Linked DNA regions of Canis lupus familiaris. The protein of the gene in region 7 purifies or fractionates together with the protein of the main gene of each other region. This does not show direct contact. Links are inferred from orthologs where the notes say so. Each region holds a gene or a part of one and is shown on either strand. Other genes may lie near its edges.

The links.
Region 1: the proteins of BCL7C (region 7) and ACTL6A purify together in Homo sapiens (affinity purification with mass spectrometry; 3 studies listed by BioGRID and IntAct, counting the BioPlex papers as one, with this or other methods). This does not show direct contact. The link is inferred for Canis lupus familiaris from reciprocal best matches to the Homo sapiens genes BCL7C and ACTL6A.
Region 2: the proteins of BCL7C (region 7) and SMARCD3 purify together in Homo sapiens (affinity purification with mass spectrometry; 3 studies listed by BioGRID and IntAct, counting the BioPlex papers as one, with this or other methods). This does not show direct contact. The link is inferred for Canis lupus familiaris from reciprocal best matches to the Homo sapiens genes BCL7C and SMARCD3.
Region 3: the proteins of BCL7C (region 7) and SMARCD2 purify together in Homo sapiens (affinity purification with mass spectrometry; 3 studies listed by BioGRID and IntAct, counting the BioPlex papers as one, with this or other methods). This does not show direct contact. The link is inferred for Canis lupus familiaris from reciprocal best matches to the Homo sapiens genes BCL7C and SMARCD2.
Region 4: the proteins of BCL7C (region 7) and SMARCC1 purify together in Homo sapiens (affinity purification with mass spectrometry; 4 studies listed by BioGRID and IntAct, counting the BioPlex papers as one, with this or other methods). This does not show direct contact. The link is inferred for Canis lupus familiaris from reciprocal best matches to the Homo sapiens genes BCL7C and SMARCC1.
Region 5: the proteins of BCL7C (region 7) and SMARCD1 purify together in Homo sapiens (affinity purification with mass spectrometry; 5 studies listed by BioGRID and IntAct, counting the BioPlex papers as one, with this or other methods). This does not show direct contact. The link is inferred for Canis lupus familiaris from reciprocal best matches to the Homo sapiens genes BCL7C and SMARCD1.
Region 6: the proteins of BCL7C (region 7) and ARID2 purify together in Homo sapiens (affinity purification with mass spectrometry; 3 studies listed by BioGRID and IntAct, counting the BioPlex papers as one, with this or other methods). This does not show direct contact. The link is inferred for Canis lupus familiaris from reciprocal best matches to the Homo sapiens genes BCL7C and ARID2.

The regions. Positions count from the first base shown.
Region 1 is NC_049255.1:13,142,908-13,146,407, forward strand, and holds part of ACTL6A (actin-like protein 6A), read left to right. Parts: intron 1-2,294; coding exon 2,295-2,395; intron 2,396-3,280; coding exon 3,281-3,378; intron 3,379-3,500.
Region 2 is NC_049237.1:16,005,955-16,009,454, forward strand, and holds the end of SMARCD3 (SWI/SNF-related matrix-associated actin-dependent regulator of chromatin subfamily D member 3), read right to left. Parts: coding exon 3,414-3,500; intron 3,164-3,413; coding exon 3,068-3,163; intron 2,914-3,067; coding exon 2,812-2,913; intron 2,575-2,811; coding exon 2,413-2,574; intron 1,661-2,412; coding exon 1,563-1,660; intron 1,401-1,562; coding exon 1,265-1,400; intron 969-1,264; coding exon 846-968; intron 727-845; coding exon 625-726; intron 410-624; coding exon 356-409; 3' UTR 51-355; downstream 1-50. UniProt on the Homo sapiens protein: Involved in transcriptional activation and repression of select genes by chromatin remodeling (alteration of DNA-nucleosome topology).
Region 3 is NC_049230.1:15,127,868-15,132,009, reverse strand, and holds the start of SMARCD2 (SWI/SNF-related matrix-associated actin-dependent regulator of chromatin subfamily D member 2), read right to left. Parts: upstream 2,801-4,142; coding exon 2,585-2,800; intron 128-2,584; exon of another isoform or gene 1-127. UniProt on the Homo sapiens protein: Involved in transcriptional activation and repression of select genes by chromatin remodeling (alteration of DNA-nucleosome topology).
Region 4 is NC_049241.1:41,570,875-41,574,811, reverse strand, and holds the start of SMARCC1 (SWI/SNF complex subunit SMARCC1), read right to left. Parts: upstream 2,801-3,937; coding exon 2,606-2,800; intron 1-2,605. UniProt on the Homo sapiens protein: Involved in transcriptional activation and repression of select genes by chromatin remodeling (alteration of DNA-nucleosome topology).
Region 5 is NC_049248.1:42,025,276-42,028,748, reverse strand, and holds the end of SMARCD1 (SWI/SNF-related matrix-associated actin-dependent regulator of chromatin subfamily D member 1), read right to left. Parts: intron 2,873-3,473; exon of another isoform or gene 2,456-2,872; coding exon 2,354-2,455; exon of another isoform or gene 2,232-2,353; intron 2,228-2,231; coding exon 2,174-2,227; 3' UTR 501-2,173; downstream 1-500. UniProt on the Homo sapiens protein: Involved in transcriptional activation and repression of select genes by chromatin remodeling (alteration of DNA-nucleosome topology).
Region 6 is NC_049248.1:38,086,938-38,090,437, reverse strand, and holds part of ARID2 (AT-rich interactive domain-containing protein 2), read right to left. Parts: intron 3,391-3,500; coding exon 3,256-3,390; intron 2,621-3,255; coding exon 2,424-2,620; intron 2,160-2,423; coding exon 1-2,159. UniProt on the Homo sapiens protein: Involved in transcriptional activation and repression of select genes by chromatin remodeling (alteration of DNA-nucleosome topology). Required for the stability of the SWI/SNF chromatin remodeling complex SWI/SNF-B (PBAF).
Region 7 is NC_049227.1:17,466,817-17,470,866, reverse strand, and holds the start of BCL7C (B-cell CLL/lymphoma 7 protein family member C), read right to left. Parts: upstream 2,801-4,050; 5' UTR 2,704-2,800; coding exon 2,612-2,703; intron 2,105-2,611; coding exon 2,026-2,104; intron 1,725-2,025; coding exon 1,616-1,724; intron 1,514-1,615; coding exon 1,352-1,513; intron 55-1,351; exon of another isoform or gene 1-54. UniProt on the Homo sapiens protein: May play an anti-apoptotic role.

The DNA.
Region 1 (3,500 bases), on a different chromosome or scaffold from region 7:
AGAAATGAGGATTAGTCTGAATGTCAAGGTTGAGTAAAGCAGAGCAACCAGCATATGTAAATAGGTGGAGCTGCAGAAGAAGCTTACATGTTTAGAAAGGTCATCCGTTAAGGATCCCTGTAACAGGGCAGCCCGGGTGGTTCAGCGGTTTAGCGCCGCCTTCAGCCCAGGGCATGACCCTGGGGACCTGGGATCAAGTCCCACATCGGGCTCCCTGCATGGGGCCTGCTTCTCCCCCTGCCTGTGTCTCTGCCTCTTTCTCTCTCTGTGTGTCTCTCACGAATAAATAAAATCTTTAAAAAAAAAAAAAAAAAAAAGGATCCCTGTAACAGTGGGTGTATTAGGACCAGTTGCAGTAAAGGTGGGCAGAGAGCAATCATGATAGGACTTGTAAACCACCACACTAGGGGTGTATTAAGCTGGCAAATGAAAGGATACCCCAAAGGAATTTAAACAGAGATATGAAATATTCATATTTTCCAACTAGAGGGAGGATTCTAACAGTGTTATATAGGCTAGATTAGAGGAAGATACTAGGATTAGTTAGGTGAGAATTCAGATGAGAAATGAAGAGGGTTCACATTTTATTACTGATGGAGATCCTGAGTTGGCTTTGAGGGGTATCAAAGAGATGAAAATTTTCCTAGATTTTTGATTGGGGTGATTGGGTACCATGCATTGAGGTAGGATAGAATGGGAAGGAGGAGGTTTTATGGTCTTAAAAGGCAAATGTAATACCGGAGGTCACTCTTATGGTTCAGTTATTCACTAGAAGGACTCACAGGACTCCGAATATAGTTGTACTCATGGCTAAGATTTATTCTACTGTAGGGATACAAAGCAAAATTAACAGGAAAGAAAGGGCATGGAGTGAAGTCCAGAGGAAAGCAGTGCAGACTTCTTAGAGTCTTTTCACAGTGGAGTCAAGCAGAATGTACTTAATTCCTCCAGCAATGAGATGTAACATGTGTGTTGTCTACCAGAGTAGTTCATTAGAGACAATTTTTACTGGGGGTGATCATGTGGGTACCCTGTGCCTTGCATGTACTAAAACCTAGGGTTCTCAGTGGGAAAGATGTTCATCATAAACCACATTGTACAAACAGTTGAGGTGCAGTGAACTACTCTCATCATTTAGGGGAAGTTTCATCAGTGTAGTGTAGTTATCAATCAGAGTTCTCAGATGCCAGCTAAGGGTCAGCCTTGCAAGCAGGTCTTTTTTAGTTACTGTGTGCAAAGTATTTGAATATAGGTGCTGTTGTAGTAAGTCGGTGAGAAGAATTTTAAGACATGGAGTTGTATTATATTAGCCAGAAAGCATGTGGAAGATGAGACACAGGTGGAGGATAGCGTCCCTTGTGAGAGCCTGTTCTGTTTTTATCCAAAGAGAAGAATGGGTGTCCATGAAGGAGAATGAGAAGGAACAGTTAGGGATGTAGGAGGATAAATAATATTCAGGAGAAGGCTAAGGGAAGAAAAAGTTCTTGGAGCATAGAAGTGATTCATTTTCATTGTTCTCAGCTGTGACATTGAGATTTACACAAGAAAGGAAGTGTTAGAGTGACTAACAGTTCATTGACCAAACAAACAAATCCTCATATGCCTGTGGGAGTATGTTGTACAGGTAATGACATTTTTTCTTTGGACTGTGGCAGAGCAAGTTTGTAAACTCTTCAGTGTTCAGTAGTGTCAGATGATGTTGAAGGAGTCAAGGATATTACAAATGTGAAGTTTCCCCTGGATTTGTCTGTCAGCAGGTCATTAGTGACTTATGCAAGCATTTTCTTTTTTTTTTTTTTTTTTTTTTTTTTTTACTATGCAAGCATTTTCGATGGAATGTTTAGGTGGAAGCCAAATTGAACTATTCCCTGAAGGTTTTTTTTTTAGGTTTTTAGGTTTTTAAATCTTTTTTCAAGTAGATTGTAAGCTTTTTGATATCCAATCTAGATCATACCATTCTTTTGTATTTTTTCTTACCATTCAAATTGCATACTGTGCTTCTAGTAAGTACTTATTGAATAATATTTATTTGGCATTTTAGGTCTATTAGATACAGTAATTATATTTGGGACAGGTCTAGGAGTTGTGATACTGTTGGGGCTGGAGGAACCAAAAAGAGGCTCCGTGTTTATAGACAACAAAGATGATGTCTATATAAAGTACTGTATTACGAAGTAAATCTATAAAATAAGTAGATTCTATGTTAATGCTTAACTATAGAAACCATCTCTTAAAAGATTCTGTGTTCATCTTCAACTAAGCATTGTTTTCAAGGTATTAATCTTATATTGTAGTTGAAGACTGGGATAGTTTCCAGGCTATTTTGGATCATACCTACAAAATGCATGTCAAATCAGAAGCCAGCCTGCATCCTGTTCTCATGTCAGAAGCACCGGTAAGACAGGCTTTCTTTTCTGAGTTTTGTAGTTGTTTTTTAAATTCATTCAAAGATTGTGTTCTTTTTTTCTTTAAAGAGGCATATTTTGAATTTTGAAAATTAGGGAAAGGAGGATTAATTTTTTATATCCTGTTACAATTTTTATTATTTCAGTAGTTAAAATATTCAAAGAACAATAACAAAGCACCCTAAATGGAATTTGATTATTTATTTTTTCCAGGGATTTATTTAACACTTGAATTCCTTGGGCCACTTCCCATTTGGGTTTATGAATTGTCCCGTATGCCCCAGGGGCAAGGTGTATCTGCTTTTATATTCTGTTTTCCAGGAGAGAAGTCAAATATGGAATTAGGGCTGGAAATTACTAGACCCAGGACTCTTGTGAAATAAATTTAGTAGAGTCCAAATTATCATAAATCATAAATTAACGATATTATCGTAACGATCATAAATTATCAATATTTTGTTATTGTTTTTAACCTATAGTTTTCTTTATGTGTACCAACTCTAAGTAGGAGAATTTGGTGGTTTAAAATTACCAGATTAATTCTTAAGATTTAATAATAGTTTATAAGAATTGGGATTTTCTTGTACTTTGAAGTCTGTAACTTGTAGAATTCATAGCAACAGATAATTATACTTTTTATTAAATAAATTTTCATTTATATTTACTGAATTTATTTACAGATAAATAGAAATAAATACACATATATTCTTTTTTTTTTTAATACACATATATTCTTATGAAGATTATTTTATGTGGTATTCTGTTTTTAATGCTTAAATCTTTGTTAATGTGGTGCTATATTGAATCTTGAAATAAATCAACATTTTAGTTTTTAAACAGTAAATAACTTGCATTTCTTTTTCCCCCTTTTCAAGTGGAATACTAGAGCAAAGAGAGAGAAACTGACAGAGTTAATGTTTGAACACTACAACATCCCTGCATTCTTCCTTTGCAAAACTGCAGTTTTGACAGCGTATCCTTGAAAGAGTAATACTCAGCTTTTCTTTCAAAGTAAATATGGTACCATTAAAGAGAATGCCCCCAGCAGGAAGACATGAGCCAGTTCTTGCTTGTTCAGAAGTTTGGGGTTTTTCT
Region 2 (3,500 bases), on a different chromosome or scaffold from region 7:
TCTGCCAGCCTTGGGAAGGGTGAGGCAAAATGGATGGACAGATGGAGAGCTTGTTGCTGTATTTTTTTAATAAGAAAATGTTATTAAAAGCGTCTTCTGCCAAACTGTTTTTAGGTCTAGGGAAAATGGAGTAAAGAGAAGAATCTGGGACAGAGGGGGGGGTTTCCCAGAGGGACCCACCGCCTTCCCCCTGTCCTTCCTCCCCAGTTGCCAATGACACACAAGGCCGCTCTCAGATGCATGACCTTTAATCATTCCCCTGCCTCACCCGGCACGTGTCAGAAGAGTGATGGCAGAGCTTTGGGGACAGGGCCTGGGCCCAGAGGCCCACAGCGGTGGTCATTCACAGGGGCTCCTAGGTGTTGCGCACAACCAGCGACTGCTCCAACTCCTGCCTGCGCTGCTGGATCTTTAGAGAAATAAGAGCAGTAGCAGGGTTACGCTGTTGTTGGTGAGTGACAGGACAGTCCCACCCAGCCACCCTGGAAGAGCCTCTGGGAGCAGGGAGGGCTCCTCCGCGGCGAGGGGGTTGGTGGAGTGGCAAGGGCCACAGACGTGGCTGAGAAGGGAGGCTTCTCCTGGAGTGAGGGAGGGAAGGCCTGAGGTACACGGGCCCCTCCACACCTTGCAGTAGAAATAGCGGCTGACAGCTTCCTGGGACCAGGGCTGGTGGTAAAACTCAGCCCGGCGCTCCTCCTCAGGGTTGCCTGCCACATCTGTCATCACCTGGGAGGGAGCAGTGGGGTCAGCCCTGTGCCCAGACCCCCTCCAGCCCCCATGTAACAACATTTACTGTCTTCCCGATATGCTTGTCTTCCATCCAGTGCTCCCTGAGTCCCCTTCACCTTGAGGTCCCGGCTCTGGGAGCGGAGCAGGTCTTGGATGTAGCCTTTGGGGTCTCTGGAGAAGCTTAGCATGAAGTCCCTCTGGATCTTGAGCTGGTTTATGGACTCAATCGTCTCATGGATCTACAGGTAGAAAGACAGACACTTTCACCTGGCCATGGTGATGTGGGAGAGGAGGGGAAGGAGGAGGGGGGCGAGTGGGGGTTGGGATCTGCTGCCATCTGTTCTTTGAAGGGCTATCCCTCAGGTCGCTGCTGCCTCTGTAGTCCCGAGGAAGGGGGGATGGGCAGCACTCCCAAGTATCGAGGGAAGGGCCACCTGCCCCCTTCATCTCTCCATAGGCCTACGCTCTTGTCTGTTGTCTGTATTTTGTCATTTCTGGGTTAATGTCCCACTCCAGTTCTGGGCTCTGGCCCCACCTTACTGTCCAGAGCGCTGATCTCCTGCTGGTTGGCTGTGGACAGGAGGAAGCTGCTCATCTGTCCCTTCAGTGGCTCCTCCACCTCCACGTCAATATCATAGCACGCCGTCTTCTTCTGGTCCGACGGGTCCACGCTGCCAGGGAAGTCCAGCCCTTGGTATCCACACTGCTTCCACAGAGGCCAAGGGTCCCAGGGGCAGAGGTGGGGGGCAGGGGTGGGGTGGGGTGGGGTGGGAGGGATAGAGTGGGCAGGACTGCCATGATTCTCTGGTCAGAGGAGCAAGCTGGGGCCTCACCTGATGACGTGGTTGATGACAATTGGGTCAGGGGGCAGCAGCAGAGCTGTGAGGCGCTGGGGAATCTCAGAAAACTTCAGCCGTGGGCAATCAAAAATCTGAGGTGGGAGAGAAAGAGACCAGTCAGCCCTAGATCCTTCCATTGTGGGCGGCCACAAGATGCCAAGAGCAAATCTAACTCCTTAGTGCTGCTGGGGCTGGGACCAGGGTGTCTGTGGGCAGTAGAGAGTGGACCAGGAGGTGTGGGGGTTGTGGTGCAGGGGACCAAAGCACCCGCTCTGGGTCGGTGGCCACCCAGGTGCAAATCCTGCCTCTCCCATTAACACTGCAACCTTGGGCCAGTCCACTAGGCTCTCAGGCCTGTTGTAGCATGTCCGGTGTGGGGATAGTAACTACCAGGGTGGCTGGGAGAACTAAGTGGATGAGTACACATCAAATGCCTGCAGTGGTGCCTGGCATATGGCGAGTGCTCAATAAACCTCGACTGTTATTTTACTCCTCAAGTTTATCTGCCATATTTATTTTTAAAGCATTATTAATAATCTCTACTTTGGTAGAGTCTTGGACCCAGGACTAGAACCCAGGGATCCTAACTTCCAAGTGCCAAGAATATTACATTCCCCAAACTGTTGACCTTTTAAGGTTCTGGATCTTTCTAAACTGGCTTGTCTAAAATGGATGGTGGGCTGCAGCACGGAGCTACGCTGCAGTAGGGCCTACACTAGGACCCTGCTTACCATTTGTGATACCCAGGAATCTAGAAGGGGGGTGGTGCTGCCTTAGTCGAGGCACTTACCCTATTGGTACCTCTGCTTGCCCCCCACATCCCCAAGATCAGGAGAGAGGGTACCTGCTGGAAGTATTTGTCCCCATTGATGTATTCCTTATCATGCGAATCCTGCAGCCTGTTGGTCTTCACATACTGCCACAGGGCCTGCACAATGGCTGAGCGGCTCTGTGTGTGCAATCCCAACAGCCGAGCCAGGCGAGGATCCAGTTTGAATTGGGGAGGCTGAGGAAAGATGGCCATGGACATAAAGAGGGAGTGGGAAGAGCTCAGGGCCAGGCAGTGTGGGACTGGGGGAATGTGGTGACTGGGCTCCTGGGAAACCTGCTTCTGGAAATGAGGTAGGGAAAAGAATGGGGTCTCTTGGTGCATTTCTGTGAAGCCTAGGCCTGGCCTAAGGGAAGGGGTGGGGAGCTGGGGGGGCTAGGGGCCTCAGGTGGAGTCAGGGGGCAGGGCACAGACCTGGTAGTCCAGCATGAGAAGCAGTGTGCAGCGTACACTCAGGTCCCCTGGCCTCTTCACCTGGAACCCATCCGTCTCCTGGGTTGTGGGTGTTCGGTGCCACTGCCCAGGGAAGGAGAGCTGGGTCACCTCACAGGCCCACATGGGCTGCCAAGGCCAGGGACTCTAGGGTGGTCCCTGATCCAGATCTGTGCGGCTGATGGAACTGTGGTCTGGAAGGGTGGCAGTTCCCGGGCAAAAGAGGTCTGGGTCTTACCTCGACTAGGTGGTTGTCGGGGCCATAAAGGTCTTTGTCCAGTTCAATGACCAAACTCTTGAAGAAGGAAGAGAACTTCCGCTTCTGCTTGCTGGGCTGTGGGAGAGGGACAGGGACCGTGGGGGCAGGACAGGGACCGTGGGGGCAGGATGAGTCGGGAGTGGGTGGGGCTGGTTGGGTAGGGCAGCATGATTAGAAGCAGGCCTCTACACCCATACTGTCTCTTCAGGCCGCCCACCCCTGGTTGGGCTGACTCCCTAACCCATAGTGCAAACATCTCCTTCTGTCCTCAGCTCAGCCCCATACCCACCCCAGGACACCTGGAGAGACCTGGGCCAGGACGTACGTCATCCAGGAGCTTCCCCTCCACCCGCAGCTCCCAGGAGGCAATGCTGCCATCGGAATCTTCAGCATCAGGCTTCGCAGGGTTAAA
Region 3 (4,142 bases), on a different chromosome or scaffold from region 7:
AAAACAAAACACCCCAAAACAAATCCCAGTCAGGCCACTCAAGGCTCTGTAAGTCCCTGCCTGCAGTAAAGCTCAAGCTAGGAAGTGTGTGACAATGTCCTCTCCCTTGCCCGGCAGCAGCCCATGTCCTAAGTGTGACTCTACCTCCACTGCCCAGGACAGCAGGGCACGTGGCTGGGCCTAATGCTGCACCTCCAGAGAGCACGCAGCACCCTGCCTCAAAGCCTGTGGCCCTGGCGCCCCTGGTGGCCCAGGCCTAAGAGAAGGGAACATACCCCTCCATAAGCAGAAAATATTTTGAACTCTGGAGTGAACCCAACAATCTGGGTTTCTTTGGGTTTTGTTTTGTCTTTCTTTTTTTTTTTTTTTTTTTTTTTAAGATTTTATTTATTTATTCATGAGAGGCAGAGACACAGGCAGAGGGAGAAGCAGGCTCCTTGCCGGGAGCCCGACATGGGACTCGATCTTGGGTCCCCAGGATCAGGCACTGGGCTGAAGGCGGCACTAAACCACTGAGCCACCCAAACTGCCCCATTTCTTGTTTTCCTTAAGCTCTTCTGTCGAGTATGATCCACAGCTAGATCCACTGTGTGGAGGGAGGTGGGTCATCACTTCCCCTCTTTCCATAGGTTCCCTAACTTACCCCACTTGGCCTGGAAAGCCTTGCTCTTCTAGCTCACTTCATGTACCCTAACAGACAGGACCCCCTTTGCTCCTCTGAAGTCCCATCTCCTGGAAGTCACACAACTGGACTTAGAAAGAGGCCAAGCAGAATCTTACTCGAACTTAGCCAGGGTGAACTGGGTCTTCCCTCTCCCCTTGGATCCTCTACTGTCCCTTCCTGGAGGAGGAGGAAGAGGTTATGAAAAGCTGGTGGGACAGGAAGCTTGCAGAAGCAGAAGCTCAGTGCCTACCCTTTGGTCCCCAACCCTAGCAGCCTGGGGCTCCCCAGCCAGTCAGCTGGACCTTGCCACTGGCCCAAGGCCACTCCCTACATAGGGCTGTGGAACCCATTATCCAAGGGCTTTCCCCAGGCCACACTGCTCACAGCTTTTGAACAAAGGCAACTGGAGAGGCTCCTATCTCTTCTTAGACCAAAGGCCCAGAGAGACTCCAAGGCCTGTGCTCAGCTAGCCGGCCCAGGGGCTGTAATGACTCATGTCGAGACCCCTCAGCATCAGCTTGGACCCATGAATCCCCAAGTGGGAAAGCAAGATGGGAAAGATGGGAGTCACTGGCATTATCTCTGTCAGTACCCAGATATTTTGTTTTCTTTACAGAGAGGAGGGGGGATGAAGAGTAAGTGGGAAAAATCAGGGTCCCCAGTTAGGCGTCTCTTTAGAAAGTAAGGGCCCAGGGCTCTGAGGGGGGCGGCGAGGGAGATAAGCATATCCTATCCTATGAGGATCCATTTGTGGAGCCTCTACCTGGAGACCAGAGAGTCAACCCCAGCTTCCTTGGGAGATTAGCAAAGAAGCCAGTGCCAAACGCTGGGGCACACGGGTTGGTTGGGATATGACATTGCTAGAACCTAAAGGCTAAATAAGAGTGCAGAGAGAGTGCAAAAAAGGATGGGCACAATTCCCAAGCATTCTGGGGCAACCAGAAACAATGGACTGGAGAGGGGGGTACTGATGAGCCCCACCAGCAGGGTCAGGCCCTAAGGATGGAGTCTCTACCTCTCCTCGGCCTTTGAAGCTGCAACCTGAGACGCGCTCTCTTGGAAGCCAAACTCCAAAGGGGTCAGGACAGAACTCTTTGAAGCAACTCTCACAGACAGGCTCCTCCAGCCCCAGACCAGCAGGGCTCAGTGGAGCCTCTCTGCTCCTGCACACTAACCAACTCCTGGACACTAGGACACCAGGCAGAAAGCCAAAAGGAGAGTCGGCCCAGAACGGGCTGGGCTTTCCGCCTGCCTCAGGCCTGGCCACCACCAGCTCTGGTCGAACCCGGAGCCACCCCACGGGAGGGCTCCTGGGCCTGACCTGGAGCAGACCCTGCCCGGCACAGGCTGGGGTCCCCTTGCTCCGTTCTCCACCTCCCGGGCCGCGGGGAGCCAGGCCCTTCTTCCTCCCCATCAGCAGCTGGGAGCCATCTCAGACACGCTAGAACTCTGCCAGTTCCCAACTAGAAGAAAAAAAAAAAAAAAAAAAAGCCCAGCGCAGACTTGGAGTGGGACCAAGGCCAAGGCAGGGTAACCCTGGTTTCTCCGTGAGGGCCCTTTTGCAAAACTTTCCCAGCACTTCCCCGAGCCCCCTTCCCTAGGACCTACACTAGACTTCTCGGTCCGCTCGCCCACAGCTCCCGGGCTCCGGTTCCTCCACCTCTCACTCAGAATCCCCGTTCCAAGAAAACCTCCAGACCCTCCCAACCGCCCCCAACCCTCCAGCCCAGGCTCGCTCTGACCCTCTCCCCGAGCTGCCCCGCCGCCCGGCCTTGCCCTGCACCCCGTCCCGCGCACTCCGCACGCCGGGCCCCCGTGCCCCGCCCGGGGGCTGCCCCGCGGCCCCGACTCCAGCCCCCATCGCCCCATCGCCCCGGGCGACCTCGCGGCGCCACCCGCCCGCCCGGCCGCGCTGCTCACCTGGTACTGCGCCGCGGGGCCCGCGGGGCCCATGGGGCGGAAGGCGGCGGCCCCGGGGCCCCCCACGCCGCCAGCCGGCCCTGGCCCCCTGAGCGCCGGTCCCGGCAGCATGCCGGGTCCCGCGGGCGGAGGCGGCGCTCCCAGGGCCGCGGCAACGGCGCCGCCACCAGGACTCAGCGGAGGCAGCGGGAACCCGCCCGCGCCACGGCCCGACATCGCTCCGTCCCGTCCGGCGGTGTCGCGATCCGGGCTCCGGGCTCCGTGTCGAGTCCGCTCCGCGATCCGTGCTCCGGGACTTCCCGATCTAAATTCCGGGTTCTGGGGCTTGTTGATCCGGGTTCCGGGATTTCCCAATCCAAGTTCTCAAGTTCCTCCTCGCAGACCCGGTTTGGGGCAGGGCCGATCCTGATTCCGGTCCTGCCCGGGCAATTCCGGATCCGGGATCTGCTGCACGCCCGCCTGACGCTCGCGGCCTCCGGAGGTTTGGCCGCCGGAGTCCAGTTACCCGGAGGCGGCAACTAACTCCCAGCCCCGCCCAAACAAGCCCGGCGCTAGGCCCCGCCTAGAACCTGCAGTCCAATGCCACGGTGCCGCTCAAATCCCGCCCCTCGCGAGACCCGCCCCCAGCAAGCACCGCCCCTAACCGCCAGCCGCCCCCCCCAGCCACGCCCCCACGCCTCAGGCCCGCCCTTGACCGGAGGGGCGGAGGCGGAAAGCTGCGCAGGAAGCGCTGTGCAAGGCGCGGGGTCAGAGGTTGAAGGTCACCTAAGGGCTTCAACAGAGAATGCGTGGGGAGTTGCTGATCTCTGCCCCGTGGAGCCCGCCCCCCGAGGTTCCCAGTTACACTCCCTGAAAATAGTTGACTTAAGTCGCTTTTCTATGTTTTAGGCAGTAAAAATTCAGCTTAGAGCTGTTTCCTGAGGCAGAAGAGCCACCAGCTTCACTTTGTTTAATAGCCCATCCTGCTGGCTCAGAGCTGCCAAGGGACGTCAGCTGCCCCAGACCCAGTCCAGCTGTGTGACGGGCTGACTTGGCCCTGCGCCGAGCTCTTATCGCATATTTTTAACGTGGCTCTGCCTCACTTTAAGGAAGCCTAGTACTTTACTCCACAGGAAATGTTTCTAGGGGGAGGAATTTTGCCTTGTGAGAAAACTCCCTGCAGTTAAATAAGGTCTTTCTCCAGGATTTATAGTACTTAATTGGAAAAAAAATTCAATACCTTTTCAGAAACCACTATCCTGTGTCATAAGGTATTCAAAATAAAGCCCTTCAGCTGTGTTAGCCTACATGCTGGTCATCTGGGGTTTCCTCCCCCTGATACAGGCCAGTGCTTCTTAAACTTTAATAAGCACAAGAAACATCTGGGGCTTTTGGGCAGCCCGGGTGGCTCAGTGGTTTAGCGCTGCCTTCAGCCCAGGGCATGATCCTGGAGTTCTGGGATCGAGTCCCATTCGGGCTCCCTGCATGGAGCCTGCTTCTCCCTCTGCCTGTGTCTCTGTCTCTTTCTCTCTCTCATGAATAAATAAAATCTTAAAAAAAAAAAAAAAAAAAAGAAAGA
Region 4 (3,937 bases), on a different chromosome or scaffold from region 7:
GTTATGGTTTAAGTGCCCAGATACGTTTAGACGCCCAGTTGTTCATGGAATGCATGAATAAGCCCACTAATAAAAGTGGGATTACCAACAATGTGTTTATTTCATTCAGTTGCTGAGACTTATGAATATAAAAATGCAGTATCAAATGCAACAAAAAGTTTAGTTAATAGCCATCAATGTGTACACCGAGTGGACATATACATATTGCATCCTGGTTAGGTTCGCCATTCCAATACCACTCTGTGAGGCTGATAGGATTCTGTCTCTCAGGCATGAGGAATATACAATTCTGAATTTGAGGAAGCCCAAGAAATATACCCTGGCCTTAGGAAATCCTGAGAAATCAAACCTAACCTTCACTTTAAGGCCTGAAGAACACTGAGCCAACATTTGCCCAATGGCATCAACACTCTGGGACAAATCCCTCGGTCAGCCTCAGAAACAATTCCTCACACACCAAACAAACCCATTCAAGCCGACAAGGGCCCTCTTCAAATTGGGCCCGAAAAGGGACGCCTGGGATCCCTGGGTGGTGCAGCGGTTTGGCGCCTGCCTTTGGCCCGGGGCGCGATCCTGGAGACCCAGGATCGAATCCCGCATCGGGCTCCCGGTGCTTGGAGCCTGCTTCTCCCTCTGCCTGTGTCTCTGCCTCTCTCTCTCTCTCCGTGTGACTATCATGAATAAATAAATTAAAAAAAAAAAAAAAAAAAAGAAAAGAAAAGGGACGCCTGAGTGGCCCAGTCTCTGGCTCAGGGAATGATCCCACATGGGGCTCCCTGCAGGGAGCCTGCTTCTCCCTCTGCCTGTCTCTGCCTCTTTCTCTGAATAAATAAATTTTTAAAATCTTAAAAAAAAAAAAAACTTGGAAATTGAGCCCAAACAGATGCACAGAGTTTGGAGAGGTAGAAATGGCTATTTCTCTTTCTCCTCCCTAATATCCAAAGGAATATTCCTCATTTCTGCTAAAACCACATTGATAAACTAATAGCTATATGTCAATTATATCTCAATAAAAAAATCCAGACTGGGGGAGGGGGAAGGCCACATTAAGGTACACTGAATTTAAAACCCAAAGCTTTGGCTGAAGGGCACTGATAAAAATAATACTTTCGAAACATAAATATATTCAATTCCCTTAGCCACTTCTAGAAGCTCTGTTGCAGATGTTTAAAAAAAAAAAAAGTGACCAATTTATGTAAGAGAGCAATATTCTTGTCTACCTAATGTGCGGATGAGAAAAAATTGGCAATCCCAAACGTGACGGCAAAGTTTGAGGGCAAAAAAAGTCAAAACAGCTAAAAATATATCGTAAATAAAAATGTCTCTCACTTCCTAAAACTTCAGTAAGAAAGTCATTTCCGAGAGTACCACAGGGGAATGTCAAAAGAACCCAAGATCCTGCCCCTGCGTACCAATCTCTAGAAACAGACAAACTCCACTGCGCTGCACAACTCAAATGAATAGGTTTTCTAGACTACTTCATCTTTTCATTCACTGAACGAGAATTTACTAAGCAACTACTAAGGGTGAGGCAAGGAGTACCAGTCACGCGGGGGGTGGGGGGGATGAGGGGGATGGGGGGATGGGGGGTGGGCAATGCAGTGAAGAGGCGGGACAAGTTCCTTGCCCCAGTGCTATGGTTCTCAATGGGAGAAGTATGGAACTTGAAAAGGGTGTTCGGAAATCTGGGGCAGAGGAGGTATTTTGGGCTGTCTGCTTCATTACACCTTCTAAAAGAGTCATTCCTATGTATCTACCAGGGGAAGTTAAAAAACACTCGTTATAAATAAAAGGTTAAGTCACAACTTTCAATACCACTGACTCAACGGAACTTACCACCCAAGAGTTAAGAGAAACAGCTAAATGAGAAAAAAAAAAAAAAAATCTCACAAAGTGGTACAAAGAAAATCAAGGTGATGTGAAGTGCGCCAGTCTAGTATAAATGGGGCTCTCAGGGAAGGCCTCACTGAGAAACTCATTAGGTACCAGTGAACGTTCCTTCTTGTACTCACACTACCCAGAACTAAAAGTATAATAGGGTAAAAACTGTCGTGTTTGTTTTTTTTTTAATATCCGTGCTTCGTCAATACTATCATCCATTATATTGGCCTGCTGTTAACTTCCGAGTACAATCGTCTAGTCGTTCTTCACCGAGCCAACAACAGGTAGTAGAACCTTAGCTACCTCACTTGACTTTGAAGACGTCTCTAAACAAAACCTGAAGCTGCTCTTACGACACTAGCTCGGACAGTTTGTAATAATCACTGTTCGCACACCCAATGCAGCTAACAAAAGAGATTCACGCCCTCCGGTTTGCTGAGCTCGAGATGCTCCGGCACCCCGGGGTGAGCTGGGGGGGGACTCCCGCCCGCAGCGCCGCCCGCAGCGCGGGGGCTCCCAGAGGCCTGGCCCCAGGGGCCCGCCGGTGCAGCCCGGGGCGCGCGGGCGCGGAGAGCGGACGGCGGGGGCGTGGCGGGCCCGGCGCCTGCCTTTGTTGTCCCTCGTGGCGCGCGGGGGGGAGGGGCGGCCCGAGGCCCGCGAGGCCAGTAGCTGCGCCCGGCTCCCGTCGCGTGGCCTCCCGGCCCCCACGGGCGCGCGTACCCACCTTCTTGTAGTGCTTGCCCAGCCAGACCCGCACCGAATCCAGCTGGGACACCGTCTCCGGGCTCTCCCAAAACTTGCTGGCCGGGCCACCGTCCTTCCGCCGATAAACCGCCAGGCCCGCGGCCGCCGCCGCGCCTCCTGCGCCCGCGGCGCCCGCCGCCGCCCCCAGCCCGCCGCCGCCCGCCGCCGCGGCCATCGTCGCCGTCCGTCGTCCCCACCGCCCGGCCCGCCCCGGCCCTCGCGGCGTTCCCCGTTCGCACCCGCGCGCGCGCGCAGCCGCCGCTGCCGCCTCCCGGCCCCGCCCAGCCAACCCCCTTCCGGCGCGGAGGGCCGGCCACGCCCCTTCTCGGGACCCGGTCCCTAACTGAAGAGGGCACGCGCGCACGCATGCGCAGCACCGGCGCCGGGCGGAGTCGGGTCCTGCGCTTGCCCCCGCCTCTTCCGCCTGACGAGGCCGGCTGCGCGGTTTCTCCGCTGCTCGCTCTGGGCCTCTGCGGGGTCGTGCAGGACCAAAGTTCCTGCATCCCGTCAACCACTGCACGGGGATCCTGTGTCCTGCCCTGCCACCGCCGGAGAGGAAAGACCTGGAGTGAGAAGTTCCGAGGGGGGAGCCCGTTTAGGGTGTCGAGTGCTGGCCGAGGATGGGGAACCTGCGCCTGCTTCCCCTCTGCGCCCGACCTTCTGCAAGGCGTGGTCGCGTAGCCTTTGTAAGCATCCACCTGGGCGCACCGCCCGGAGCTGCTGCTGCAGCGCACACCTTCCTCCCCGTGGTGGCTCCAGCCACGCCAGCTCTTTACTGCCTCAGGGCCCTCGCACCAGCTGTTCCCGCAACCGGGACAGCTCTTCCCCTATGACTGACACTTTGGCGCTTTCAAATTCATAGTTTAAAGATGCTTCAGAAAACAAAAACAGGGATCCCTGGGTGGCGCAGCGGTTTGGCGCCTGCCTTTGGCCCAGGGCGCGATCCTGGAGACCCGGGATCGAGTCCCACGTCGGGCTCCCGGTGCATGGAGCCTGCTTCTCCCTCTGCCTTTGTCTCTGCTCGCCCCTCTCTCTCTCTCTCTCTCTGTGACTATCATAAATTAAAAAAAAACAAAAACAAACAACGAACCCTGACTGTACAGCCTTAAGCAGCTAATCATACTCAACATTCTCTGTGTAGCGCTCTCCCTACGACCTGGGATTTTTCTTATTTTCTTATCCACATCCATTCCGTGAGAACCTAATCGTGACTTGTTCACGGGTGTACTTTAAGTGCTGGAAACAGAGCCTGTTATCTAATAATGTTCCATAAATATTCGATGAATAAGTGAATGAATGACCTGTGGAGGAG
Region 5 (3,473 bases), on a different chromosome or scaffold from region 7:
CACTAGGGCCCTAGAGTGGAGCCTTAAGGGAACAGCAGGCAGAGGCACACAGAGGTCCTCAGCTAGGACCTGGCTGGATAGGGGCCCAAGAGGACCTGCCCCCAAGGTGGCTCAGGATCAGCAAGCCTACGGCGCCTGCGCACACCACGGGGAGAAGATAAGATGGCAGTGGCACGGCCTTGGTAGTACCTCCCTACCTAGAGCCCGGGGCGGGACTCTCAGATCCACGGAGGAAGCCCAATGATCCCAACCAGTACCCAGCCTGCTCAGACCAGCCTGCTCAGCCAGCGGGCTGACAGAGCAAGCTCTGGAGAACCTGAGGTCCACAGCGCAGAAACCTCGTTTTCCACCGTATCCCTAGTGCCTAGTACCGCAGCTGGCACACAGCAGGTGCTCAGTCAATATTTGTTAAATAAAATGAACAAACACCATGAGTGTGGCTAATGGTATTGGAGAAAGAGCTCGGGGAAAAGCTCTCCCTCAGTAGGTAGGGGGACCCATCCTTCAGAAGATTCTTTTATTAAAACTGGGTGACATCGATAAGGGGACAGTACAAAAAAAATTTTGGTCCATGAAAAAAACATAATAATTCCGTTAATAAAAAGTTATCTTCAACAGGGACACTATGTAGGAGTGCTGAACTTCCTTCTCCTGGTTCCAGCCCCAAGGACAGAGGTTGTCCAGTGTCTGTGGGGAGAACCTCTTAAGGGAGGGATGGGACAATGGTCAGAAGGGGAAGATGGAGAGAAAATTCTGTCCCCGGTGTGGAACAGGCAGGGTTATGGGGCTGGAGGATGTGCTCGCAGGAGCCTGAGGAGGGGGTGGGGAAGCAGGGGCTTTGTCAGTTCTGTGGGTTTAGAGCCCAGGCTGAACGGAGTCCCCCTCTGTGCCCAGCTGTCTCCCACCCTGCTATGTTGAGTCTGCGAGCCTGGGGTATGCTAACTTGGGGTGATACAACCTGGAAGAAGAATCTGAGGCTCTCCTGGAAAGATGCAAAACCATCTCAGTTCCAAGGGGCCAAGATCACAAGGTCCTGCTGCTACCTGAGGGGTCTGAAGCTTTGAGGGCAGGGGCTGGGGAGTCACAATCCTGTGAGGCAGGGAGAGGGAAGAGTCACAAACCCAACTCAGAGCTATTCGCCAGCCCTAGGCGCTTTCACTCCTCAGTGCCCTAGAAGTCACCAGTGGGTGTCAACTGGGCAGACAAGGGACAGGAAGACAGGGATGGCCCAGGGCTTTTACCCGTTTGATTTCAGGCCTGTTTCTCCACGAAGGGGTGGGGGTGGGGGGGCAGGGTGGAGTGAATAAATGAGTCACACCTCCAAGCAACAGCAGGAAGGAATAGCCTCTGCTGGCAATGACAATACCCCAGGTTAGATCCCTGGGGCTCTGACAGGGAAAGGCAAGATTCCCCCACCCAAATGCCCTGCGTTAGGACAGATAGATAGCAGGGGAGCCTAAAAAGAGCAGCTACAGGGAGTGTGCTGGGAAGGAGCAACAGTTAAAGAACAAACTCCAATACTGATGTGGACCCCCTACGAGGGAGTAAGAGAAGCACTGAGACAGCAGGCCAATCCAGAGGGCTGCGGACTGACCTGGGGCTCAGTGGGGCCCAAGAACCGGGGTTCCTTTAGTGCTAGAGGGCAAGAAGTAAAGGGAGAGTGTGCTCCAAACCTGTGGAGGGAAGGAAGGAAATTGGATTCTGTTATCCAGAGAGCCAAGATCAACTAGCTTATAGAGTGCCCCCAGGCCTGAGTCTCAGAGAAGGGACTAAAGCTCCCAACTCCTGGGTCTCTGAAGGGCAGGATCAGTGTAGCTGGTCCCCTTGAAGACCACCTGGCCTTAGGCCCAATCCATTCAATGCACTGGTTACCACTACAGGTTCTCTCTCTAACGCTACCTAGAGGTCCTATGTAGACCAGGGGAGGGTAGAGGCACATGGGAACTTTGTGGGGCAAAGGGAAGCTGGGGGACAGGAAGGGATGGGGTGGGAGAAGAGGGTGACAGGTGTCTTATGAGACAGAAATGTGAGACCCTCTTCTTTCTGATGTTGTCCTTGAACCAACAGCATCCCCTGGGAGGCCCCAAGCAAGGCCAAGGCAGGTGCTATGAGGCAGGTAGCACAGGGCCCAAATAAGAATCGATGGAGCCAGCTCAGCACTGTGGGAGAGGCCCTATGTATTTCGGATTCCCAGGGCTTGCTCTAATTCTTGTCGTCTCTGCTGCACCTAGAGAGAAAACAGTGGAGGGAGCAGAAGATGAGACAAGCCAGAAGCTGGCACCTCATACTACTGACATCCATCAGGGGTTCAGATCCCTGCCTTTTTGTCTATTTCCCACACCCAGGCACCTACCTTGGAGTAGAAGTATCGGCACACGGCCTCCTGAGCCCAAGGCTGGAAGTAAAACTCAGCTCGGCGTTCTTCCTCTGGGTTACCCACCACATCGGTCATGGTCTGGGGGACAGGGAAGGGGGGAGAAAGAGGAGAAGGACTTGTTTCCCTCCTTCATACCTGTTATGGATGAATTGTATCCCCCCAAAAGACGACAAAATCCTAACCCCCCAGTACCTGTGAATGTGACCTTATTTGGAAATAGGGTCTCTGCAGATGATCAAGTTAAGATGAGGTCATTAGGGTGGGCCTAATCCAACAGGACTGGTGTCCTTATAAAAAGGGGGAACTTGGACACAGAGACAGACATGCACAGAGGGAAGATGATGTGAAGACACCTGGAGAACACCATCTGCAAACCAAGGAATGCCTGAGGCTATCGCAAGCTGGGAGAGGGGCCTGGAAACACATTCTCCCTCCCAACACCCTGACTTCAGACTTCCAGCCTCCAGATAAAAATAAATTTCTCTTGTTAAGGCACTCAGTTCGTGGTACTTTACTACGGCAGCCCTCGCAAACTACTAACACAACGACCAAAGTCACCCCCTGCTATTAATGAGTCATTGCTCTCTTCTGGGATCCTTTCTGGCACCCCTTGTCCTGTGTTCCTCTGCTCAGCCTCCGTAATTACAGTCACCACAGGACAGGAGAAAACTGAGGGCACGTTTCACTCTTTCGGTACTCACTCCCACCTCCTTGCCTGAGCTTATGGTGCTCTCCTCTCTGAGGATTACCGCAAATCCGAAATTTGCCATGGAGCGTTCCCCGGCTATTCCAGCCTCACCCATCTCCGTCTTTGAATTATGTCTTTGGTAGTGGTGAGTTCCGATAATGTCTTACATACTTTACAACTTTTTTTTTTTTTTTTTTTTTTTGCTTTACAACTTTTTAAATTGTATCAGTCGGTTCCCTTCCCTCTAAAAGAAAATAACCTGGTCTGAAACAATCCTTTATTTTTTGCTAGTAACCTCCTTGCTATCAAAACTTTCCATTCTGTGCAAGTCCTCAGAATGCCTATTTACTAGAAGGGATGCTGCCCAGTTCATGAATCATTGAATAAAACCAATTAGATCTTCACATT
Region 6 (3,500 bases), on a different chromosome or scaffold from region 7:
TAGAGGTTTTTTCAAATCACTTTTGATATCCGGCATGTCCATTTGTTCCAAGTTCTGTTTTCCAGATGTTCCATTCTCACCTAATTCTAACGATGGCCCATTACTGATTAGTGAGCACTGATTAGCCTCACTTTGAATTTTCCCTGAGTTTGAAGGAGGTAGACTTGAGTCACTGTACTTTCTCCCATTTAAAAGACTTCCCACCTGCATTTCATTTTCCTTTGTATCCCCATTGCTGGTGTTCGTGGTTCCTCGCCGGCAGGACGGGTTCTCCATTACTTCAATTTTACGTTCGTGAACATGTAAACCTGTTGCTTCTTTTGCTTCCTCCTCCTTTTGGCAAATTATCTTATCACCTTTGAATGGGGGAGTAGCAGTAGTACAGGATGATTGTCCAGCTGGAGATGTCTGAGTGGCTGGAAGCGTTTGCACCTGAAGTCCAACTCCTGCCTGTGTCCCACTCATGGTAATTCCTGCTGGAGCAATGAGCTGAGTTGCATTTCCCTGACTCACAGTTGCAGTTGCAAAACTTGTATTTGGCACAACTGTTATGGTTACCTGGTTGCCAGAAGTCCCTTGGAAAATGGTTGCTGGGCTGTTTGAAATCAGTGGGCCTGGTAATATTTGTAAGTTCGAGATAGGTACAGTTTGCACTCCGCCTGTGGGTGGCATTGCACTTTGTACCAACTGAACATTTTGCTGCCCAACCAACAGCTGCTGAGCTGAAGACTGCCCCTGCACTCCAAAACCTGCTGCTTGGTTATTGGCCACCTGGTATACCACCTGAGGGCTGGGAGCTCTCGCGTTATTAGGGGGAGGAATCTGTGGAGCTGGGAGAATTAGCTTACCACCCGGTGTCGAAGGGCCACGCTTTGGAAGCAGCAACTGTTTTATCAGACTTGACTCACCAGAAGCAGGCTGACCAACGCCTGCATTCGCTTGCTGTGGCTGAACTTGCATCTGTACTTGTTGGGGCTGCTGAACCTGTACTTGTACCTGTTGCGGTGAGGGTGCTGGTGAATGCTGCTGCTGTTGCTGCCTTTTCACAGATAGCATCTGACTGACGGTAGGAGGTGGTCCCTGTGATTGAGGGGTGGAAGATGATGACATGGCAGTAGGAACTTGGTTATTAGTAGCTGGGACAGGTGATGGTGAGGAAGATGGAGTTATGTTTGGTTGCCCAGTTAACTGAACTGTCTGACCAGCTGGAAGAGCTGCTGGATTAGCAAGAACAATTTGGTGAATGGCTGGTGCATAAGTCTGACCTTGTTGAGCTGGCTGGCTTACAATCACTACACTCTGTTGGGTTGGCTGCTGTGGTTGTTGAATGGGCTGTTGTACCACTGTTGATGAAACTTGCTGAGAAGGGAGAGGTTTTGGTGCAATGTTCTGAAACCCTACCCTTGAGGGTTGTGGACTTGGGACACCAGCAATGGTAACCATTTGTCCCGTAGCTACCTGAAAATTCTGTACTGAAGTTGCTGAGACAATATTGGATGCAGAAGTTGTTACATACTGTGAAGGTGCTATGATAACAGTGTCTTGCGGCTGGCTACCAGCTGACGTCTGTTGAGATGAAGTTTGCACAGGTTGGGGTGATGTGGTGATTAACTGTTGACCCTGTGATACTGAAGAAGTACATGCTGGTATGTTCTGTACTCTGCCAAATATATGACTCTGTGGGACAGCTTGTTGAATTACTGTAACAGGAGTGCCGGAAGGTATCTGTCCTGGTACCACTGTGTGTAATGGAGACTGTTGTGGAATTACAGATGGATGATGAAGCAATGTCTGGGAATTTACAACCGTAACAGGTTGTGGCCCTGTACTGTGATTCTGAACCACAGAACTCTGAGCAGCTCCACCTCCCACAGCAATGCTAACAGGAACTGCTGTCTGGGATATAGAATTCTGGATTACTGTAGCCTTAACAACTTCACAAGGAATTGGAGCTTTATTTTGAATGACAGTCACTGGAGCATTTTGCTGCTGGTGGGTATGAACTGCAGGATTTGGTGGAATTCTGGAAACAGTCTGTGCCACAGTATGAACACCTTGTACTGGAAAAGACATTTGTGTTGCAGTCAAATTTGAAGACTGGTTGGTAACAGAAGTCCTCTGAAAATGGTTTCCTACAGTTTGTGGTCCATGAGGGATTCCTGAAAATATGAGGGAAAGGTCAAAATTCATAAGGAAAGGACTGAAAAGCTGAATGTAGGCATTGCTTTACTTAATACAAAAGAAAAATCCTTTTAAGAAATTAACATTTAACACCTCTGCATCATATGAATATGATAAAAGTAACAGAATAAGCAAAATGCAACTGGAAAAACAAGGAAAAATTATTCATTTTAAATTTATATAATATACTGTTTCATTTTGTTTGTTAAGTTAGTAATACTTAAAAACTCAAAAATTAATACCTGCAGGTGAAGGACTTGGAGATACATCAGGAACAGAATCAACACGAACAACAGGAGTAGAAACTGGTTGCTGCTGATAGTACATCTGAATGGGAAGTGGTATAGCCCTCCTTTTTACTCCTACTACATGAATATGTGCCTGCCCGTTGCTACTGGAATCCTCCACTCTCTTCACTGTATGATTTGGAAAGACCGTTCTGTAAAGTACACACATAACTTAGTTTTATAAACTAGCAAACGAGCAAAAAACATTTCAAACAATGTTTACATGAACAGTAGCAGGATAGTTACTGCTACTAATACGAACCAGTATGATTCATATAGATCTATTCTGTAAGGGTGGGAAGCAAAGAAAAAATATAAAAGATCAATTTCCCAATTTTTAAAATCATTATTAACATTGTTGGGTTTTAAATAATTCTATACCATATCTAATGAACAAAGAAGCTGCATCTAGGCAATGTCTATTTTATGAACTTTTGCAAAATATCAAAAGCCTTGATATTTGAAGATAAGAGTATTAGTTGTAGACTATTATTCAAGATAAAAAGGGCAAAAGTCATGTCTCTAACATATTTCAGTGGGTAGAAAGAAGTTTTTCCCTTCTCTTTCTTTGATAAGCCTCATAATGTTTAAACACAAACATGAGGTTTGATTTCCAAAAATCTCCTTGTATTTAAATTTCCATCTTATTACAACATAGCCTATATGAAATTTCAAGTAGTAGAAATATTTAAAAGTAGATAGATAGTTGGTATTTTCCCCAAAGAGCAAGAGATATTCTAGGTGATTCAAATTAACTTTGTTTAAAGTTAATAACTAAACATCCTACCTAAGACATTTATAAAATCCAGTTGAAGTTAGGATTCCACCACGAGCTAATTTACTGCACGTTGAGAGGTACTCAGAATACATCTCTGCTCGAGAGACAGAACAGTCTGGATTTACTTCAAAATGAGCATTTAGCCTAAAAAGGAGAAAAATAAATGGCATTACGCAATATATTACAGTAGAGTTCATATTTAAATATAGTAAAACTACTTGAAGGCAATGTATCATAAGGTAATATTTATGCCT
Region 7 (4,050 bases):
TTGCTATTGGCCAGAGGAAGACACAGCAAGGACATTTAAGTGGGATCTTGATGGGTGAGTAGGATCTGATCGGGTAGACAAATGTGGAGATGGAGCACATTTTAGGCAGACAGACTATATGTTTGTGAGGACAGATTCTGAGGTTGGATTCCTCCGGTTCAAATCCTGACCTTGGGCAAGTGACTTAATTCCTCTGGACTTAGTTTCCCCACCTGCAAAGTGGGGATAATGATAGTAATTACCACATGAGACTGTTGTGAGGATGCAATGAGATAATACAGGTAAAGCCCTCAGTACAGTGTCTAGCACATAGAAAGCGCTCAATAAATGCCTGTTGTTTTTGTATTAGTAAAGGTACCCAAGTGCACGGTACAATCTAGACACAGCCCATAGGCCCATAGGCCCAAGTCATGGTATTCCTGGAAAGGAACAATGAGACCAACAGGGATAGTTCACGAAGGGCCGTGAGTGCCAAGTGGAGGAGTCAAAGGCCATAGGAGCCATTGAAGGCTTTGAAGCAGGAAAATGAGCCTGCCATATCTATGCTTTAGAAAAAGTTGCTCTGGCAGCTGTGTAGAGGTGACTAGGGAAGAGGAGACCCACAAGGAGGCTGGAGCCAGGCACAGGTAAGAGATGGCTCTTATAGGAAGGGAGACACATTTGCAAGGTGGTTCCGACCAGACAGGGGATTGACTATATGGAAGAAAGAGGAGCTAAGGCAAAATTATGCCCAAGATGCTGGCTCATTGGCCATGTGAGCTTAGGAGACTTCTCTGGGTTTCAGCTTCTCATCCACATGTGGGGATTATAACTTTCATAGGGTTATAGTGAGGATTAAATGAAATCAAACATGTTCAGTGCTTAGAATGGTATCTGGCACACAGAGCTCAATAAGTCTTAGCTATCATTATCACTTATTAATCACCCTCAGGAATATCACTATTATTCATTCCTTAACAAATATTTATTGAGTACATTCTATGTGTCCCACATTGTTCTGAGGATCTAGTAATGGACAGGAGCAACATGGGCCCAAAGTTCAGGAAGCCAACATGAGGTGGGAGTGGGGGAAGAAATTTGAGTAGTAAAAAATAAAATTTACATGAAAATCTCAGACAGTGATTAATTACATAAAGACCCAAAGGGAAAAAAAAAAAAGACCCAAAGAAGCCGGATGAATGAGACAGTTAGCTACTGGAGGTAGGATGGTGACTTTCTGCAGGAGTCAGGGAAGGCCTCTGGAAGGGGATAACAAGGAGGGGAGCAGGTGTAGGTAGGGGTAAGCTGATGGCTCCAACTCAGCCACCAGCCAACTCAGAAGAGAGGGCTGCAGGGAGGCACCTGGTCCTACCTCTCTCTTGGCCCAGCCGTGGGGGCTGAGCATCCTCTGGGACCCCTTCTGGTGGTCCAGCAGGTGACACAGGGCGGCTGGGCTGGGGGGTACCCCCAGGGCTGGGCTCGGTGCCCTTTTGCAGGGAGCCTTCCGAATGGAAACTCTGGTTACTGTTTTCATCTGTGGGAGCAAAAGCCGAGAGCATTGGGCCTGAGAGCCCCAATCTGCTCCCTCAATTCCCCATCCCACAACACCCCCCCAAATCCCAGGATCCCTACATACCATTGAGATCCAGCAGGATGAGGGGACCACCCCCTCGGGGACTGGTGCCCCTGCCCCGCCGCTCCCGGCCTCGGGATCTCTCTGTCCCGCCACCTGCCCTCCGTCGTTCCTGGGGGTTAGAGGGATAAGGGTCAGCTCCGGCTTTCCAGTTAGTGCTTGCAAAGCCCCCACTGTCCAAATAAGGAGACTGAGGCACAGAGCAGCAAAAGGCCCTACAGGAGGCTGGCACAGTGGATTAGGGCTTGAACTCAGGGGTCTGAAGCAGGAAAAAGGGAGAAGGGGGTGGAGTTGCTAATAATTGTTAACATCTGTCTTGGCTGCTGCATTTGAGGTCTCAGAGCAGGACTGGAGGTGGAGGCTGGGATTGGAAGGGGCTTGCCTGAGGGTGCACAGTGGGGGAGTTTGCTCACCTCCTCCTGGGGGTCCACCACTGGCACCCACTTGAAGATACGAAGGGAAGTGTCGCCCACAGTCACCCAGCGCTTCTCCCTGTGGGAGGGGGGGACTGGGTCAGAATTCTGAGGAGAGAGCCCCCCCCAGGAGCTGAACACATCTGGGGAGACCTGTAGACTTGGGGGTGCTGCGGTTTCGCTAATGGGGCATATGGTTAGAAGGAGAAAGAGAGTCCTGCAGACCCCAGGCCATAAACAGGGGTGCCTCTAAGGAGAGAGCACGGTTTGGGGCCATGGCTCTGCAGACCCCTGGGGTATACAAGGGAGCAAGGCTGAGGGCCTGGCTGGGGACCATAGCAATGAAGATCCTGGACATACTTGAGGGAGGAGTGTCAAAGCTTAAGGGGGCGGGGCATAAATGAGGGTACGGCTTGGGAACACGCTTTGTAGACCCTAGGGTGTAGCCAGAAGGGGGACAGAGCCCTGTAGCTCCGGGGGGCACACCTAACACCCTGCGGCCACGGCCGGCGAAGGGGAGGTTAGACGCATTTGGGGGAGGAGTGGTCCCGCCGGGTCCCATCCCTGGCCCCCGGGCAGCGCTCACCATCTCCGGACCTTCTCGATGGTCGCCATCACCTTCTTGATGTCATCTTTGGCCCGGCTCCGGGTCTCGGCCCGCACGGTCCGGCCGGCCATGCTGGCGGGACTGGGGCCGAGGCCGAGCCCGCGGCTGGGCCGCCTCCCGTCCGGCGGGCTCAGGCTCGGGCCAGACCCGGGCGCCGCTCTCTCGGCCTGCCGTCCCTCCGGGAGTTGGCCGCGCCCTCCCTCGCTCCCCAACGCCTCCGCGAGTCCCCGCCCCGTTTCCTGCTGCCGCGCCCCGCCCCGGCCCGTCCCCGGAGCGGCCCGGCGGTGCGGGCGGCCAAAGCCCAGGCCTGGAAGCCGGCCGGCCCCGCCCCGACCGGGCCCGCCCCCTCGGGGCGCCCCGACGCGCAGCGCCCCCTACCCGCCGCCAAGAGGGAGGGTTGGGGACAGCTTGGCGCCAGGGCGCGCGCCGCCGGGCCGGGGAGGTGCGTTCAGACCACGTGGGCGCGGGGAGGAGGAGGGGGCGCGAGAGGGTCACTCTCACGGCGAGCGTCTGTGGCGCGGGGGTGGCCCTCGTGCTGCGTGCAGAGCGTGTGTCCAGCCTCCCCTGGCTGTCGCTCCCGCCCTGTCCAGCTCTTCCTCAGCCATTCATTCAGCAGTCTATTCAGAGTGCCCATTTCTGGCCAGATGCTGCAAATATGAGTAGGTCTCCACCCACCAGAATGGCTAAAATGAGAACGACAGACCATATCAAGTGTAGACAAAGGAGTAGAGCAACCAGACCTCTCATGTTCCTGGGGTAGTGAAAATGGATAGAGATGCTTTGGAAAACGGGCAGGTTTTTTTTTTTAATTATTTATTTATTCATTCACAGAGACACAGAGAGAAAGAGAGAGGGGCAGAGAGACAAGCAGGCACCATGCAGAGAGCCTGACGTGGGACTCGATCTAGGGTCTTCAGGATCACGCCCTAGACTGCAGGCGGCGCTAAACAGCTGCACCACCGGGGCCACCCAAACTGGCAGTTTTCTAGAGAAGCTGAGAGAAATGCGTAGGTGTGAGCACCAAGTGATGTGTACTGGAATCTTCATAGCACCGTAGAGCACGGCCTCAAATTGGAAACAGCCCATCAGGAGTAGAGTGGAAAATGAATTGTAGCCTGTTCACACAGTGGACACAGCAGAGAGTGATATCCTGCTACACAGACAACAGGGACAAGTCTCATGAAAGAAATCAGATACAACAGTACGCATTATATGATTCCTTTTATATGAAATTCAAAACAAAACTAATTTGTGGTGTGAGAACTCAGGATAGTGGTCACTCTTGGGAGAGGCCAAAAGGGAGCTCTTGGACTGGTCACATTCAGTTTCTTAATCTGAATCTGGTGCTGATCCCCCCACCACCACCAGTACATTTACTCTGAATATTCACCGAACTGTACACTTTTCCCTATGTATAT